2 linked regions of the Ovis aries genome follow. The protein of the gene in region 1 purifies or fractionates together with the protein of each later gene. This does not show direct contact. Links are inferred from orthologs where the notes say so. Each region holds a gene or a part of one and is shown on either strand. Other genes may lie near its edges.

Region 1 (4,378 bases):
CTCCAGGCGATCTTCCCAACTCAAGGATCAAACCTGCATCTCTGTGTCTCCTGCACTGCAGGCAGATTCTTTACCAGTGTGCTACCTGGGAAGCAATGGAGTAGGGCAGTGTTTCCCAAGTAAGGATGTTAAATGCAGGGGAGGACTCAGGATAGAGTGTCCTGAATCTGCAGAATCACTCTTTGGGATGAAAGGGGTAACCATCCTCTAGCAGGGACTCCTCCTATATGGAGATCTAGCCAGACGTTTTCAGGGTAACCCCAACAAACAACCCTGCACACAAAAGAGGTGCCAGGTCTGATCACTCCACGCCCAGTACCACAAAGTTCATGGCAGGATTCAGCTTACCCTGAGAAGAGTTTTGAGTGCCAAGAGCCAGGGGCAGTTTTATCTTTTTTTCTTTTAGCCCAAAGACACTTTCAGATATTCAAGACCTCAAAAAAAAAAATCCTCCACCCATGTATTCTTATTAAAACATTTTTTGAGACATAGATTAAGGCATAGATTAATCTTGAAATAGAGTCAAGATTAAGGAAACAGCAGCATAAAATTGTAATGCAATGACCATTCAAATCCGTTAATGATAGCACTGTCATTTGATTAGAGAATGTAATAATTGCAAGTGTCGAAAACTGGTCCTAATAAAATGTGGGCCTAAGACTCCAAATTAAATAAGGACTGAGAAGTGAGAGTGATAAATGAAATTTTTCTCATGTTTTGGTAGGCTAGATTTCTTACCTTAAATAGGGGGAAATCAATAAAATATATTTGACAACTAGAGAAATGCAGGATAAAGGATATTTTTGAGAAACATAAAGAAAACTGCTAGATTTTTAAAACAGGAATAGATGCCTGGGAAGATAAAAGAGAACACAATCTAGTCCATATGGCAAGGGAAAACAAAGGAAACAGCATACTTACTGAAGTGAAAATATTAACTTAAGGTGAATCAGAGGAAAAAAGTAGGTTACAAAACTGTATCTACAGAATCATTACAATTGTATAAACTATCAGAGAAAATAATTGCTGGGTAGTGAAACGGCGGGCTGGGATTTCACTAATTTTCTATTTTCTCACTTCTAAAACAAGAACACCAGTCCTAAGTGTCTAATCACAGGGAATGCCTCTAATTTAGTAAATCATACTAAAAGGCAACACAAAATACTGGGTTGGCCAAAGTATAGGGTATGGAAAAAACTTGAGTGAACTTTTTGGCCAACCCAATGTTATCTATTACTATGCCAAAGATATGAAAATCTGGAGACATGGGGTTGGCGGGAGAACTGAAAATACTCTCTTGAAATCCTGCAGTCTGAATTACAGATGTCCACAGATGGCACCGTGCATCCGTACTTTGAACTATTTTCACATTCACCATCTCATTGACTTTTTTAAGACAACCTAGTGATGACCGTAATCGAAGATGTTTTTAATAGCCCCAGAGAAACTGATCATGGAAAGAGACATAAATGAACAGCAGAACTAGGGCGAATGTTTCCACGTACATGCTGAACTAAGTGTACATCAGAGAATATTAAAACCCAGAGAGATTTAGCCACGCTGGTTATACAGATGAAGAAACAGAGCCCACGGGGTCACACGAACACATACATACTCCGTTCTGTAAGTCCGTGTTTAAAAAACAATAGTAGTCTGCTGACCCTAGTGACAAGAATGTAAAGAAACAGCGACAACTAGACCGATTTTGTCACTTTCTACCTCAGTGACTTGGGGTGAATTATTTTCCTCTGAATCTCAACTTCTGCCCCTGTAAAACCTGAATGGTGCCTTAATGGTGCCTTAACCCACTTAGTTTCGTGCCCCCATTCCCCCACCTCTTTAGATGAGAGGAGGCCGACAGCATTTATTTCACGGAGTCCCTGTGTAGTTGCTGTTGGTCTGTTAAATACACTGTTTCTGGTTCTCGTTCACTAAACACTTTCAAAGGGACAAGGCCGGCTTTTCAGTTCCAAAGCACGACTGCTCTCTGGTGGCCAGGAGCCTTAACTACAGGTGCCATTCAAAAGTTAAAAAGCCGCTCCAAAGGAAGGAAATTGACGAACTTCACAAAATAATAGTGAATGTCAAAGGCAAACCCAAGCACCGCGGGCGTTGCGGCCAACACTCCTCGCAAAGAAGACTGTTACTAATTCCAACTACCAAAGTCACAACCACCACGATTTTATTTAGAATTACTCATGAGTCCTGCCTCCCCTATAAAACACTAACTTCCAGTGTTTACTGCTTCTAAGCTCTTGGCTTTTCTTTTTCTTGATTCAATACATCTTCAAGGACGGACTTTCACTGCTAGCCCAACAACTTCCTTTTAGCCAGAGGACGCTGAGGCCTGGGGAAGTAAGAGTTCAGGTCTCCAAAACCAGAGTCCTGACCCCCCACTGGAACCCACCGCCCACGTGTCCAGGTTTGAGAGCGAGGACAAGCGTCCCAGGCGGACACTCGGTCTCATCAGCAGACCTGTAGCTAACTTTCGAGGAAGGCTGAGCTGGGAAATCTCCGCGGCAGCCAGGGAGAGCCGAGATGGGCTTCCAGGACGCCGGCCCCCGGCCCCCTCCGGCCCACTGAGCGCCGCCGGCCACCGTGTCACCCGGAACCTTCACCCTCGGGCCCGATCAAACCTCCGCGCCCAACACTCACGCTCAGCCAGCATCGACATGTCGCCGAGCCTGTGACGCTGCGGATCTCGGGACCTGAACGACCGCAATTACCGCAGGGCAGACAAGAGGAGAAGCTGAAACTACCGGACTCGCACGCCGGGGAAACAGCAGTGGCGGCGGCGGGAGGTGCACTCTGATGACGTCAGCGAGGCGCGACTCGCCCCTGAAGCGCGCAGCGGCGAGTGGGCGGGGTGCGGGCAGCCTAGCACTCTCTTTGGTAGGATACTGGGTGGACTAATGGTTTCCAAGGCTTGTTTCAACTTTAGCGTTCCGGTGTCTGTGAAATATCTATGAGGAACATCCATTAAAAAGAACCGTTATTAAGTTTGGGTGTTTTTTTTTTAATTACAGAATCTTGATATTTTTAAATTGTCAGCTGGAAGTTCTCGTGGTTCAGGCGGTAAAGAAAATGCCTGCAAGGCAGAGGACCGACTTCCATCCCTCGGTGGGGAAGATCCTCTGGAGAAGGGAACGGCTACCCACTCCAAAATTCTTGCCTGGAGAATTCCATGAACAGAGCGGGGCTAGTCAGGGCATGGAGTCGCGAGGAGTTGGACTCGACTGAGCGACTAACACCCTAACTATTTTTCAGTAGATACTGCACTTTTAAAAAGAGGGTGACCGCTCTATTTCCAGTTTTTTAAGGAGTCTCCACACGCTAGTAAAGTAATGCTCAAAATTCTCCAAGCCAGGCTTCAGCAATACGTGAACCGTGAACTTTCAGATGTTCAAGCTGGTTTCAGAAAAGGCAGAGGAACCAGAGGTCAAATTGCCAACATCCGCTGGATCATGGAAAAGCAAGAGAGTTCCAGAAAAAACATCTACTTCTGCTTTATTGACTATGCCAAAGCCTTTGACTGTGTGGATCACAATAAACTGTAGAAAATTCTGAAAGAGATGGGAATACAGACCACCTGACCTGCCTCTTGAGAAATCTGTATGCAGGTCAGGAAGCAACAGTTAGAACTGGACATGGAACAACAGACTGGTTTCAAAATAGGAAAAGGAGTAGGTCAAGACTGTATATTGTCACCCTACTTCTTTAACTTCTATGTGGAGTACATCATGAGAAACGCTGAACTGGAAGAAACACAAGCTGGAATCAAGATTGCCAGGAGAAATATCAATAACCTCAGATATGCAGATGACACCACCCTTATGGCAGAAAGTGAAGAGGAACTAAAAGCCTCTTGATGAAAGTGAAAGTGGAGAGTGAAAAAGTTGGTTTAAAGCTCAACATTCAGAAAATGAAGATCATGGCATCCAGTTTCATCACTTCATGGGAAATAGATGGGAAACAGTAGAAACAGTGTCAGACTTTATTTTTTGTGTTCCAAAATCACTGCAGATGGTGATTGCAGCCATGAAATTAAAAGATGCTTACTCCTTGGAAGAAAAGTTACGACCAACCTACATAGCATGTTGAAAAGCAGAGACATTACTTTGCCAACAAAGGTCCGTCTAGTCAAGGCTATGGTTTTCCTGTGGTCATGTATGGATGTGAGAGTTGGACTGTGAAGAAAGCTGAGTGCCGAAGAATTGATGCTTTTGAACTGTGGTGTTGGAGAAGACTCTTGAGAGTCCCTTGGAATGCAAGGAGATCAGCCCTGGGATTTCTTTGGAAGGAATGATGCTCAAGCTGAAACTCCAGTACTTTGGCCACCTCATGAGAAGAGTTGGCTCATTGGAAAAAACTCTGATGC
Region 2 (3,802 bases), on another chromosome or scaffold:
TCCCTCAGTCGTGTCCGACTCTTTGCGACCCCATGGACGGCAGCATGCCAGGCCTCCCTGTCCATCACCAACTCCCCGGAGTTCACCGAAACTCGTTCTTGCTGCTTAGTGGCCCTGAACCCCACAGTCTTTCTGCTCAGTGGATCCCGGCCTTGGGGAGAGGTCAGGGGGGAGGTGGGATGCACCCTGAAAACCAAGACCCCAGCCCGTCTGTGTCCACACCTCCCCGGCGCCCCCGGCGGCCTGGCATTTTCTGCCCGGTCACAGTGGCCGTGGCCAGCCCCCCAGACTCTGACCGCTGTCCTGAACACCATGCTGTCGGGGGTGGGGTGTCCACCCACTTCACCCTGTCCTCGGCCGGCAGGTGTCCACCTTCTCGGACTTTCAGCCGTACCTGAGGCAGCTCGTGGAGCATCTGCAGGTGATGGGCTCGCTGAGGGACGCCGTGGTCATCGAGCAGGTGGGTGTGGGCGCCCACACCCCGAGGGCTGGCCGGTGCAGACGCGCCCCTGCCTTAGGACACCTCCTCCCGCTCCCAGGCCTCCCGCACCCCCGCCGTCCGTGGCCCCTCTGCACTTTGCTGCCCGTCTTCTCCCTCTGTTTTGGCCTTGAGGCCACAAGAAGGTGCATCCACCTCCTCCAGGAGGGCAGAGGGCTTGCCCCGCAGACCTGCCCCTGACTGAGCCCTGTGGGGACGCACTTCCTGTGTGAGCGGGTTCCCCAGCGGGGCCTGGGCCCTCGGGGCTCCCTGTCGCACGTGGGGCTCCCTGCCGCCTCCCTGGGTGCGGGCCCATTCCCCTGGGCCACTTGCTGGCCCAGAGTGGCGTCCATTCCAGCCCAGCGCCCCGCCTGCCTCTGCAGAGCTGCTCCCTGAACGAGCCTGGCAGCAGCCTCTTCAACCTCTTCCTGCACCTGGTCCGCAGCCACGTCATCAGGATCGGGGGCAGGTAGGTCTGGGCCCCGCCTGCCCGCTCAGCACCCGCTCAGCGCCCCAGCCCCATGGACAGGGTGGCAGCGCACGGCCCTCCACTTACGGGACGTGCTCGGGGTCAGAGGGCAGCGGGGGGCTCTCTTAACGTGTGTGAAAGCGCATCTGCTCTGGTGGCACCCGTGTGAGACCCCTCTGGGTCCAGGGGGCTTCGGGCTCGTGGCCTCGGCTGTTAGAGGTCGGTCTAGACCCTGGGGCCTTCTCAGGGGTCGTGAATGTGCTCCAGGCTCAGGGGGCTTTCTGCTTAAAGGATGTGCCTTCGTTATCATTAGGTTCTGAGTAACTACAATGCTCCCGGCAAGGCAGTTCCGGTAAAATATAAAATAGCGCAGACTCCTGGGGAGGCGCGGTGCCTGCTGCGCAGCAGGGGCGAGTTCGCACGCGAGCACAGGCCTGCACACGCGTGGAAATGGCACCAGGCGGAGGAGATCCTTCTCTGCGGGAAAGGCCTGGAGCCTGACTCCTCCCCAGGGCCACCACCCCTCGTGGAGCGGGGTCGTGCTGCGTGTGGCAGGGCTTCGTGGGGGGTGTGACAAGCGTGTTGATTCGCGTCCCCAGGTGGGAGCGGTGCGCGCACACCTGTGTGTCTGCGCGCGCGTGTGCAGATGTGAACGTGAGGCTTGCCGTGGCCAGCCCCCCTGCTGACCGCGTCCTGCCCCCCAGGTCCTACATCCAGTGTCAGGGGATTCCCCAGGGCTCCATCCTGTCCACCCTGCTCTGCAGCTTCTGCTACGGGGACATGGAGAACAAGCTCTTCCCCGGAGTCCAGCAGGACGGGTACGGCCCCCGGGCCGGCGGCCGCGGCCCCCGTGGCAAAGGGCATGGCGCCATGGCGGTGGGTGTGCCCCTGTGTTGGTGGGCGTGGCCCCATGGCGGTGGGCGTGCCCCTGTGTTGGTGGGCGTGGCCCCCATGGCGGTGGGCGTGCCCCTGTGTTGGTGGGCGTGGCCCCCATGGCGGTGGGCGTGCCTCTGTGTTGGTGGGCGTGGCCCCCATCGCGGTGGGCGTGCCCCTGTGTTGGTGGGCGTGGCCCCATGGCGGAGGGTACACGGCTGTGCGGGCAGGCGCAGGCCCCGTGCTGGCCGGTGTGGCCCCGTGGCGGAGGGTACACGCCCGTGTTGGTGGGCGCAGGCCCCGTGGCGGCGGGCGCGGCCTTGTTGGGGCCCCTCTATTTCCGGTCTTGGGTGCAGAGGGTGCTACACGCGGCTGGGAGGAGGTGCTCAGCAGGCCTCGAGCAGGGAGTGAGCGTGGCTTGCCCCGTGGCCAGGGCGTGTCGGCGGCACTGAACCCGTCCGCTCCCAGCCCGACTGCTGGGCCCTGCTCGTCCCGGCCGGAGCCGAATCCCATGGACACTGGTGGGGGTTGGCTCTCTGGAGATCACTTTATCCGCGTCCGGCTGAACTCAGACAGTACACCTGGCACCGTTCACCGCCCCGGGAGGACGCCGGGGGCGCATGGCGTGTGTGGGCGTGTGGCGGTGTGTCAGGGTCTGCCCTCACCCTGGGCTCTCTCCATGCCCAGGGTGCTTCTGCGCCTAGTGGACGACTTCCTGCTGGTCACCCCTCACCTAACGCGGGCCACAGACTTCCTCAGGTGAGGTCCCCCGTGTGTGCGTCTCTGCACGCGCCTCCCAGCTCGTGTCCTGCAGGCGTGTGAACAAGGTCCTCCTGTGTGTCCCCGCACCTCTGGGGAGGGTCCTGTGGCGCGGTCCCAGGGCTCCAAGAGCCTGGCGTATGGTCCCAGCGTCCACTCACGTTTCAGGGCTGGCCTTGGGGCGCCCCTGCTCCCCTCCTCTGCCACCAGCCACCCCGGGCCCTGATCACAAGCAGCAGGTCGCTCCACAGAGCCAGACCGTGTCCAGCCTTCCGTGGGGGCCCGCGGTCCCAGCCCACCCTCCGTGGCCTGCCTGCCTCTCTGGGTGCTGGGTACGCTGCCCAGCGCCCCCGAGACACCCAGTGTGGCCCTGTCCGTCCGGCGCTCACACGGTGCCCGGCCACAGGACCCTGGTGCGTGGCGTGCCCGAGTACGGCTGCCAGGTGAACCTGCGGAAGACGGTGGTGAACTTCCCCGTGGAGCCTGGGGCCCTGGGCGGCGTGGCGCCCCTGCAGCTGCCGGCCCACTGCCTGTTCCCCTGGTGTGGCCTGCTGCTGGACACTCGCACCCTGGAGGTGCATGGTGACCACTCCAGGTGAGTGACGGGCCCGGGGCCCTGGGGGGTCAGAAGCCACACGGTGGACGGCGGGAACTGGCTCTCCGAGTCAGCGGTTTTCTGAGCGTTTTTCATGAAAGGGAGCCACGTAGTGGACTCGGGCGCAAGCGTGTTCCCGGCGAGGCGTGTGGCCGTGACCCGGAGAGGCAGGACCTGCCGGACACGAGCCCCAGGTCTCACTGGGCTCTGGGGTTCATGGTCCCCTCTGGTCCGTCAGGGGTGGGGCTTCAGGGCACGTGTTCGGCTCTGTTGGTCCCTCGCCGGCCGATCCCTCCTGCGGCCTCTCCGGGCCGTGTGGATGCGTCTGCGCCCCTAGCACCACGTGGTCACCCTCTGTGCTCAACGTCTCTTCCTGGGCCCCCGTCCCCGTGGGTTAGGGCCCGTGTGCTCAGCGTCTCTGCGTCTCTTCCTGGGCCCCGTCCCCATGGGTTAGGGCCCGTGTTCAGCGTCTCTTCCTGGACCTCCGTCCCCGTGGGTTAGGGCCCGTGTGCTCAGCGTCTCTGCGTCTCTTCCTGGGCCCCGTCCCTGTGGGTTAGGGCCCCCCTTATGCGCTCGTTTGACCTTAGTCATCTTCTCAAAGGCCTTGTCCCCGAACGGCCGCGGGGGC

Evidence for each region.
Region 2: the proteins of PINX1 (region 1) and TERT purify together in Homo sapiens (co-immunoprecipitation; 3 studies listed by BioGRID and IntAct, with this or other methods). This does not show direct contact. The link is inferred for Ovis aries from reciprocal best matches to the Homo sapiens genes PINX1 and TERT.

Annotation. Positions count from the first base shown.
Region 1 is NC_056055.1:104,715,086-104,719,463, forward strand, and holds the start of PINX1 (PIN2/TERF1-interacting telomerase inhibitor 1), read right to left. Parts: upstream 2,814-4,378; 5' UTR 2,675-2,813; coding exon 2,656-2,674; intron 1-2,655. UniProt on the Homo sapiens protein: Microtubule-binding protein essential for faithful chromosome segregation. Mediates TRF1 and TERT accumulation in nucleolus and enhances TRF1 binding to telomeres. Inhibits telomerase activity. May inhibit cell proliferation and act as tumor suppressor.
Region 2 is NC_056069.1:71,200,362-71,204,163, forward strand, and holds part of TERT (telomerase reverse transcriptase), read left to right. Parts: intron 1-364; coding exon 365-460; intron 461-861; coding exon 862-947; intron 948-1,651; coding exon 1,652-1,765; intron 1,766-2,507; coding exon 2,508-2,579; intron 2,580-2,985; coding exon 2,986-3,174; intron 3,175-3,802. UniProt on the Homo sapiens protein: Telomerase is a ribonucleoprotein enzyme essential for the replication of chromosome termini in most eukaryotes. Active in progenitor and cancer cells. Inactive, or very low activity, in normal somatic cells.